2 linked regions of the Drosophila melanogaster genome follow. The protein of the gene in region 1 interacts with the protein of each later gene in a pairwise test. Each region holds a gene or a part of one and is shown on either strand. Other genes may lie near its edges. The genes, in order: CG7483 and btz.

Evidence for each region.
Region 2: the proteins of CG7483 (region 1) and btz interact in a two-hybrid assay, tested with the Drosophila melanogaster proteins (one study listed by BioGRID).

The regions. Positions count from the first base shown.
Region 1 is NT_033777.3:8,311,284-8,315,364, forward strand, and holds CG7483 (uncharacterized protein), read left to right. Parts: upstream 1-1,924; 5' UTR 1,925-2,054; coding exon 2,055-2,187; intron 2,188-2,247; coding exon 2,248-2,614; intron 2,615-2,669; coding exon 2,670-2,861; intron 2,862-2,922; coding exon 2,923-3,430; 3' UTR 3,431-3,581; downstream 3,582-4,081. Other genes in the region: CG11694 (uncharacterized protein), read right to left, coding at 1-785; CG11698 (uncharacterized protein), read left to right, coding at 961-1,749; Coq2 (coenzyme Q biosynthesis protein 2), read right to left, coding at 3,871-4,080. UniProt on the Drosophila melanogaster protein: ATP-dependent RNA helicase. Core component of the splicing-dependent multiprotein exon junction complex (EJC) deposited at splice junctions on mRNAs. Involved in exon definition of genes containing long introns, including the rolled/MAPK gene.
Region 2 is NT_033777.3:27,698,654-27,704,254, reverse strand, and holds btz (barentsz), read right to left. Parts: upstream 3,831-5,601; 5' UTR 3,671-3,830; coding exon 1,322-3,670; coding exon of another isoform or gene 1,187-1,321; 3' UTR 810-1,186; downstream 1-809. Other genes in the region: CROT (carnitine O-octanoyltransferase), read left to right, coding at 1-342, 399-531; ALiX (ALG-2 interacting protein X), read left to right, coding at 4,276-4,487, 4,702-4,820, 4,888-5,169, 5,525-5,601.

The sequences.
Region 1 (4,081 bases):
CAGTTGGTGCGCCCCCTCTTCAGCCAGAGTAAGTGCCTCAGTTCCGCCCTCCTGCGCTCCCTGGTGGCCCTATGCCTGGCCTCCTGGGCAGCACAGGCTGCCTTCTCGGCGGCGTTTTTGGTATTCTTGAAATCCACACGGGCCACCTCCAGCTGGCGGAGCAATAGCTCCACCCGCTTCTTGGCCGCTTCCACAAGCTGTTGCTTCTCGCCCAGCTCCTGCTGAGCGCCACTGGCCACGTGCTCCGAGTTGACCACATTATCCTGCGCATTCTTCACCGCCAGCGTAATGGTGTTCAGCTGATCTGCCGCCTGTTTGGCCGCTTGCCCGGCCGCAGCATAAGTAGTTTGGGTGGTCTGTAACAAGGTGCTCTCCTCCTGGACCACTAGCTCCCCCTCGCGCACCTCGGACTCCAGTTGCTCGACAATCTGTTGCTTGCCGGCCAGAGCAGCTTCTGCCGCCTTGGCTGCGGCCAGCGCTTTGTCGGCCAGTTGCTGCTTCACCTGGCGGGCAGCTGCCTCGCCAGCCTCTATCTGGGCATCGGATGCCTCCATGGCTTCCTTGGCCGCCTTCTGCGCAATGCATGAGGCCTTTACCCTGGTCTTTCCATTCATCTTGAAGTCGCACGGGGCACCGCCGGAGGATGACGACACACTGTTGTCGCCATCACCATGATGATCCGACATTAGAGCAGCTATCTCATTGGAGGACTGCGGCAACTTGTGGCCCGCAGAATGATCTGAGAACAGGAAGAAAAGTAGAAATGCGATTCGTGCTATCTCCATGCTTAACTCGAAATAGTTGTATTAAACGGATTTCTAAAGATATTTAAGAAATATATACTCCAGGTAACTTGTGGTTACTGTACAAATATTTCAAATAATAGTGATTTGAAAGGTGGAGCTGCTATATTCCCATTATTATCTCCACATTTCGATTTCCTGATGAGCCTTGAGATTTATGTACGATGCAAGATTCCCAATGCGTTGCGACTCCCTGGTTACGATGTTGCTTCTTTCGAACATCCTGCTGTCGACCGCCGCGCATCCTGCCCAGCGGAATGATCCGCGTTTCAAGCCCGGCTCCCTTCCCTGCAAGACGAGCATGAAAGCCAGCCAGGTGGCCTCGAAGGCGGCCAAGGATGCGAAGGACGCCAAGGATGCGCAGCCATGTGCCGCGGAGATGGCGGGCTACAGGGCACGGGAAATGCTGGCGGACAGGGCGTTGCAGGCGGCCAAGGCTGCGGAGGCGGCTCTCAACGGGAAGAAGCAGCTCCTCGATGAATACACCAAAAGTCTGGCAGAAACGAACAGGGTTATCGAGGAAATCCAACGAGCCATTGCTGCCAGCTCGTGCTCGGCGACGTCGGCAAAGGGGATCCGTGACAAGCTCTGCACATCCGTGAACATTATGAAGAGTATGCTAAAGGAAATGGGCGGAAATCTCGATAACATCCGGAGGATGGCCGACAGTGCCCAGAAAGAGGCCCTGGAAAAGCGCAGCCTTCTGAAAGCGGCCAGGATGCGGGTGGAAGAGCTCCATAGCTGCATGTGCGAGGCTCAGAAGGATCTGGAGCGAAATAAGCAGAGCGCTAAGAAGGCCAACGACGCCGCCAAGGAAGCACAGCAACGGATCGAAGCTTTGCAAAAACTGGTGAGCAGGATTAAGATGCTGAAGCGAAAGGATCTTCAGTCGCTCGAGAACTTCCTGCGCAGGAGAAGAAGTAGCACTCCGGAAAAAACAAGTTGAGTTTCTTGTTTGTTATGGCAATAATCATATTTATATTTTATAAAATACAATAAATAAGAACATATATTCACTTTAAATTTTTTCCGCCCGATATCAGTGTTGCCACTTGTCGCAAAATAAGTGAAAACATATCGATATCAAATTAAATCGACGCCGATTCAATAATCGATTGTTGCTAAGCAATTGATAGGCCACCCCTAGTAAGCGGACCGCATTTTTTTCTGTGAAAGTCAGAAAAATTAGCCGAAAAAGACTGTAAATATTTATTAATATCAGCCGAAACCGCACGCGAACAAATCGTGAACATGGCGCGCAAGAATGCCCAGGCGGAGGACCTCTCCAACGTGGAGTTCGAGACGAGCGAGGATGTGGAGGTGATACCCACATTCAACGCCATGAATCTAAAGGAGGAGCTGCTACGCGGCATCTACGCGTACGGTGAGTGGTGTGTATACCTATGGCCGGTCTAGAACTAATCCAGTTTTCTGCACTCCCAAGGCTTCGAGAAACCCTCGGCCATTCAGCAAAGGAGCATTACGCCTATCGTCAAGGGACGGGATGTGATTGCCCAGGCACAATCAGGCACGGGCAAAACCGCCACCTTCTCCATCTCCATCCTGCAGAGCCTGGACACCACGCTGCGGGAGACGCAGGTTCTGTGCCTGTCGCCCACTCGCGAGTTGGCTGTGCAAATCCAGAAAGTCATTCTTGCCCTCGGCGACATGATGAATGTCCAGTGCCATGTGTGCATCGGTGGCACCAACCTGGGCGAGGATATCCGCAAATTGGACTACGGTCAACACATTGTGAGCGGCACTCCAGGACGAGTCTTCGACATGATCAAGCGACGAGTGCTGCGAACAAGGTATGTTTCATTGTGCCCGATCAAACAATATTATAATTATAAGTACATTTTATAGAGCCATCAAGATGCTAGTGCTGGACGAAGCTGACGAGATGCTTAATAAGGGTTTCAAGGAACAGATATACGATGTGTATCGCTACTTGCCACCAGCCACCCAGGTGGTGCTCATCTCAGCTACCTTGCCCCACGAGATACTCGAGATGACCTCCAAATTTATGACAGATCCGATTCGCATCTTGGTCAAGCGGTAAGCAATATGATGCTCCCCCATATACGCAGTATGATTCATAAATTCCATTCCCTCACAGTGACGAATTGACACTGGAAGGCATCAAGCAGTTCTTCGTCGCCGTGGAGCGCGAGGAATGGAAATTCGATACCCTGTGCGATCTGTACGATACTCTGACCATTACCCAGGCCGTCATCTTCTGCAACACGAAACGCAAGGTGGACTGGCTGACGGAGAAGATGCGCGAGGCTAACTTTACAGTCAGCTCGATGCACGGCGATATGCCGCAAAAGGAGCGTGACGAGATCATGAAGGAGTTCCGAGCCGGCCAGTCGCGAGTGCTCATCACCACCGATGTGTGGGCTCGGGGTATCGATGTACAGCAGGTGTCGCTGGTCATCAACTACGATTTGCCCAACAACCGTGAGCTGTACATCCATCGCATCGGTCGTTCTGGTCGTTTCGGACGCAAAGGTGTTGCAATTAACTTTGTCAAATCGGACGATATCCGCATCCTGCGCGACATTGAGCAGTACTACTCCACACAAATCGACGAGATGCCCATGAACGTGGCTGACTTGATCTAAACTAATATTCTATCATTACTTTTATGTAACGCACTTTTCCTAGCCGTAACAACAAACGAATGAAGTAAATACATTTGAAGAGTATTTGAATTTCAATAGACAACCAAAATCTGTATAATAATAATAAATAACACGTAAGAATTTAATACAGAAACCAGTTTGCTTTTCAAATGGGTTAGGAGGGCTCAGGGGATGGGTGATTTACGTAAGTTCTTACGTCAAGGCGGGCACTTACAATTAAGAATTAATTGATGTTTAAGTGAGGTGTGCACTTAGTAATATTCTTTAAGACTTAACCTATTGCAAATGAGCTAAAAATGGTCATAAGCCTATTTACAAGATTTTATCTAATCAGATACCTAGAGACTTTGGTTTTGGCGAATCAAAAAGCGCGCTATAAACATAATTTAACACTACAATCTACGCTCGTCTGGCTCATCTCAGCTTAAAACTTCTGGCTTTTGCGGCAGCGCTGGAACGTACGAGCTGGCCGTCGATGTTGTTAGTGAGGATTGTCGCTGTTTCTTGCTTTCGTCTGATTTCAGAAGGGTGCCCAGAACAATGCCGAGGAAGAGAATGAGTCCTACTTGGTGGTTCGATATGAACTTTTTGGCGCAGTCGCTGGGGTTGTCAATGTTGAGGGAATAGATC
Region 2 (5,601 bases), about 19 Mb from region 1:
TTCCGCTGTGGCTGAATTCCTGAGGGCGTCATCCAACAAGCAGGTTGGCGATATGTCACTGGCCAGGGCGTTCCGTAGGGCAGTCGATGAGCACAAGCACTTCATGAACGAGGCGCGCAAGGGACACGGCATCGATAGGCACTTGTTTGGCCTGTGGTGCGCGGCGTATGAAAGCAAAATGGACATTCCCGCCTTCTACGACGATCCGATGTACACCAAGAGCGGCGGAGGAGGTAACTTTGTGCTCTCGTCCAGCACGCTGGGCTTCACGGCCAACGTTGGTTTCGTGGCGCCCATGGTCTTCGATGGCTATGGCGTCTTTTACTCCATCACCTCGGAAGCGTAAGCTAGACACTCCTCCATTATCTTGAATTGTTCTTTAATTTCGTACATTCTAGTGTGTTCATTAATACCACCGCCTATCGGGATAGCCTAAAGACAAGCGCTCGCAAGTTCAACGACATTTTCAAGGACTCATTCCGCCGCATCAGCGTTCTCCTGGAACAATTGGCCAAGGAATCCAAGCTATGAAAAGCTCATCTAGTATTAAGAAAAGATCTAATCTTACTTTATGTCGTCATTGAAATTCAGTTCTCATTTTTAGTTCCAATCAGAAAGTAGATTTTTGGTTTTTCTTTCCATTTTGTTTCAATTAGCACAATTACCTAGATTTTAACGAACAGTCGAATTTAAATATTTTTTATTTGAAATTGGATCCCTAGTTCAACCCACCTTTCACCGGAAACTAAGTGAAAACGCAGACTTCGTTGGTAGTTTGTAGTTTGACAGAAAGGGTGTGCAGCATTTGTAACTTCGTGTTAAACGTTTATTTAAATTCAATGATCGATTAGTTTTTGCAAATACATTTCTCTCGGTAATTCTTGTGTTTCAATTCTAAAATGCGGCTAAATAAGCTAAGCGCCCAGCCGCTTCAATACGTTAGCCGGCCCTAGATACTACGTACAAATTAATTGGAGCTTGCGCCGGATTACAATATATATATATATAATCGTCTATATACGAAAACTTTTCGTTAGTAATTTCGATTATCTGGGAGCTAAATGCTAATTACAAGTGGTTCTCACTGCGTTTCTTTATTTATGCAGTACTTTTTGAGTCGCAGACCCAAGGACAGAATGGGGGAAAAAAAATCGTATGAGTTGAGTTAGGAGCTGGGCTGTCCGCACTAGTGCGGCGGGGGCGGAGGTCGATAGTAGCCAGCGTGCGGCTGCAGCATTGAGTAGCCGGAGGAGGGCGGCGGCGCTATCCGTTGGCCTCGTCTCTGCTGCTGCTGTGGCGGCAAGCCGGCGTACGCCTGCACTCATTCCTGCCCAGTGGCCGGAACTGGCTGAAGGTTCTGCTCGGCAGCCGGTGGAGTGGCTGCCGCCTCTTCCTTTGTTCCCCCACCTGGAGTTGCGCCTTCGCCGGTAGCCTGGAAGGCCGAAGGTCGCTGCACGAACATGTTGTCAATGATGTGATCTATGTTGTCCGAGATGCCCTCCTCCTTCGCTCCACCCTTGACCTTATGCTTTTCGGAGGGCGGGAGAATGGGAATCGCGTTGGTGGGACGACGCTGGGGCAGAGCACTTGGTCGGCTAGTGGTTTGAGCCGGCGGTACAAAGTAGGTTGTGCCACCGACCGTGTTGTAGTTCTGATACGGCTGAGCCGGCTGCGTTGCGGGCGGCGCCTGAGCGGGCGGCGGTGTGGGTTGTGTTACAACCGGAGGCCCTGCTTGGGCGTACGCCACGGCAGCCGGAGTGGTTGGCAAGTAAGCGGCACTAGCCGGATTAACATACGGTGCCTGGGGAACGGGCACTGGAACTGGCTCCGTTCCGGTCACATAGTACGGTGCCGCCTGTGCTTGCGGATATGCGGCTGCCGGCGGGGCATGTGGCTTTGGTGGTGTTGGAACTGCTCCTGCGGCAGTAGGTGGTCCAAGTTGCATGGTCTGCAGTTGGGCCTGCAGCTCCTGTTGCTGATAGGCGATCTGCATCAGAACATGGGGGTCCTGAATCATGATCTGCGATTGTTGCTGCTGCTGTTGCTGTTGAAGATGCAACTGCTGCTGCATCTGCTGTTGCTGCTGCTCAGCCAAGTGCTGTGATGCCTCCTGCTGTGAGCGACGCAAGCTGGAGTAGCGCTTGGGCGCATTTCGTTGTTCCTGATGCAGTGGCTGCTGCTGCTGCTGCTGAGGCGCCTGATTTTGGCTAGCCAGAGAATGCATCTGGACACTGCCCACATGGCTGGGATCATTGCGTTGCTGCACCTGCTGGAGCCGCTGCGAAAGGTTCGACGTGGAAAGCGGCGTCTGTGGAGACTGCTGCGGCTGGGACGGCTGTCGTTGCTGCTGTGGCTGTTGCTGATGATGAGGTTGCTGCTGCGGCTGTTGTTGTTGGTTGGAGCGTGGAGTGGATGGCTTCTGGTTACGGTTGTCCAGTTGGTCTGGCCCCCGCTCCCGCTCTCTTAGCTGCTGTCCACGGTTGTTCTTCTTAAATTCCATGCCATTCTGACGTCCGGGGCCGCCGTTCATCCGCCCGAAGTTGCGATTCTTGGGCTCTCGATCGCGTTCCCGCTCCCTTTCCCTCTCACGTTCACGCTCCTGGGATCTGTGTGGATTGGAGCTACTGGCCAAGGGCTGTTGCTTCTCTGGAACCAAGCCTTCAGCAGCGACGGACCGTCGGTTTTCCTTTTCCTCACGCGAGGATGATGTTCGTGGACCACGTGGCTTTCTTTCGTTGAGCGCCGGGAAGTCCTGTGGCCGCGGCGGCTTGCGCTCCTTATTGCTGGCTTTGAGGTAGGCCTGCTCGTCCTCCCAGTTTCTTGAGTATTTACTAGGCCCACGCGTATATCGCCGGCGACGTCTGGCTCTGGGTGGTGCGTCCTCGTTTCTAATGTCGTAGCCGTATGTTTGCAGCAACTCTGCACGGGATTTGGGAGCCTGCTCCGTGGCCTCGAATCGATCGTGAGACCAGCGATCACCGCCTGAAGCTGGTTGCCATTTTCGCATGGTCTTCGATGCCTGTGAGATCTGTGGCGTTTGGCCAGTCGGCGTGGCACCGGCGGCCGCAAGTCCATTGAGTTCGCCATTTGGCTCCGCCGCCGCCTGGCCAGCACCGTTTTCGGGTTCGATCAGGATTTCTCCCTCGGTCTCCGCCGTCCGATCGTCGTGCTCGTAGAAAGTGCCCCGCTTTGGGATGTACTGCGGATTGCTGCGATCCTCGTCCACCTTCTTCTGGGCCTCACTGTCTGCGACGGAGCGGTCCATCGCCTGCTCCCCTTCGCCATCGTCCGTTTCGCTGCCCACCTCATCGTCCTCGTCGTCCGTCTCAGATTCCTCCTCGCTCCCACTGCCACTGGCGCTGCCGCTGGCACTCTCCTCGTCGTCATAGTCCTCTCCGCCCTCCAGATCACTGGCCGTGTCGTACTCGGAGTCGTGCGGATGCGAATTGGAGTTGGGCTCCTGGGTGGGCGAGGTGCCCGGCTCGACGTCCACGGTGGTATCCGCTGTGGGCGTTACAGCCACTGGCGCCTCGCTGGCAGGTGCAGCCGTGGCCTGGGGGATGTCGGTCGGGGGCGTGGCCGCCGTTGGTTTCTCCACTTCGGCCATCGCGGGGTCTCTTCGGTTTTCTGCCTCGCTACTGCTGCTGCTGCTTCTTCTGCGGAATGACATAGAACGGGATTCTAGGTGTCACTGGGATATCCAAGCCAGGGCTCCGTATATCAACTCACGTGCGAATTCTTGACAAGGCCTAACTACTCTAGTAAGCGTGCTTCTTGTTACGGTAAATTCTAAGAAAAAACCAATAATTTCGCACAATTTTCTCGACAACAACGCAATCAGAAAATAGAAAGTCTAGGGTTACCTTTCTCTCGCCGCAGAGATGCCACACTGTTGAAAACGTAACGACAGGGCGAGAAACGTAGCAATGTGCATACGTATTGAAATAGTGGCAGCTCTGGTAGTTACCGGTTCATGTTAGTAATAAAAAACATATAGAACATAGAACATAGAAAAAATATTCTATTACTTTTTTTTAATAGTTTACAATATTAAGTATCTTTGACAAAAATTCACCTTTGAAGTATAGAACTAAATCCTTAGTATTTCTTTAGTGGCTATCGAAAACGGTATCGACGGCTGGACATCGCTGGCCAGCTGTTGTAGGGGAAGGAAAGAGAGCGTAAAGCGGAGTTCGAATAGAGCGACAGACGATTAATTAATATCACTTGGAATCAGAAGTCGGACAAGAAGCAGACTCCGCAGAACAGGAAAAGATGTCGAAGTTTCTGGGCGTGCCGCTGAAGAAGCCGTCGGAGGTGGATGTGATCAAGCCGCTGAACAATCTCATCCAGAGCACCTACAACGGTGCGTCGGAGGAGGAGAAGGGCAAGTACGGAGAGGCCGTCAACGAATTTTCGAAACAACGCAATACGGCAATTTGGAAATTCTTTGAAAAGTACGAGGCTTCGCTGGAGATTGTGTACGCGTAAGTACCACCATGTCTTTGTGGCCTTCTTCCGGGAATCTCCCGATGAGTCACCCGCACAACGGGGCAGCTAATCACACCCATTCCATTCGATTCGATTCCACCTGGTGCTTCTGTATTGGTGTGGTGGTCAGACGTAAACAAGCTCTCGGATGACGTAGTCGTTAACTAAATGTTTTGCCTCCGGGTTTTGTTGCCTGCTCTGTATTTCCAGCTATTATGACCAGATTTGTGCGCTGGAGACCAAGATATCGGTTAGCGAACTTCAGATACCCTTTAAGTGGAAGGATGCCTTCGACAAGGGCTCCATTTTCGGCGGCAAGATCAGCCTGAGTGAGTGATTCATTGCCATGTGCCAAGTATATTTCACCACTAACCCAACGGCATCCACCATCCACAGCTCACACCTCCTTGCTTTACGAGAAGGTCTGTGTGCTCTTCAACATTGCCGCCCTGCAGAGCAACATCGCTGCCAACCAGTCCCTGGATTCGGATGACGGCCTTAAGCTGACCATCAAACTGCTCCAGCAGAGCGCCGGCATCTTTCAGTATTTGAAGGGAGCGACGCCAGCGGCAGTGCCCTCGGAACCCACGCCCGATCTCAGCCAGGATACGCTAACCGTGCTGCAGGCTCTGATGGTCGCCCAAGCGCAGGAGGTTTTCATTCTGAAGGCAATTAAGGGTATGTAAAATTAATTCACAAAGAGCACGAACACCGTTCACATTTAAATGCTTATCTATGAGCAAAATTTAGTTGTTTACATTGGGCGATAAACTATTTTATCAGGTAAAAGCGTCTTTGGCATACAATAAAAGCACTCAATGCAATATTTTTCGGACAAAGCTTATCCGAAGATATTACTTTTGATACGTGGGGACATTACCCAGTTATTTCCTTTGAAATTATATGATAAGAACGATTGAAATGAATCATTCCATTCAACAAAAATAATGTACCAATCAATGGCTCTAGAGTAATGGAAACACATTCCGCTATGAATCGAGGTTAACATGTTCAAGTATTTACATTCCGGCAGATAACTTGAAGGACCAGATCATCGCCAAGCTTTGCTGCCAGGCGGAGGAGTCTTACGCCGATGTGCTGCGCGCTATG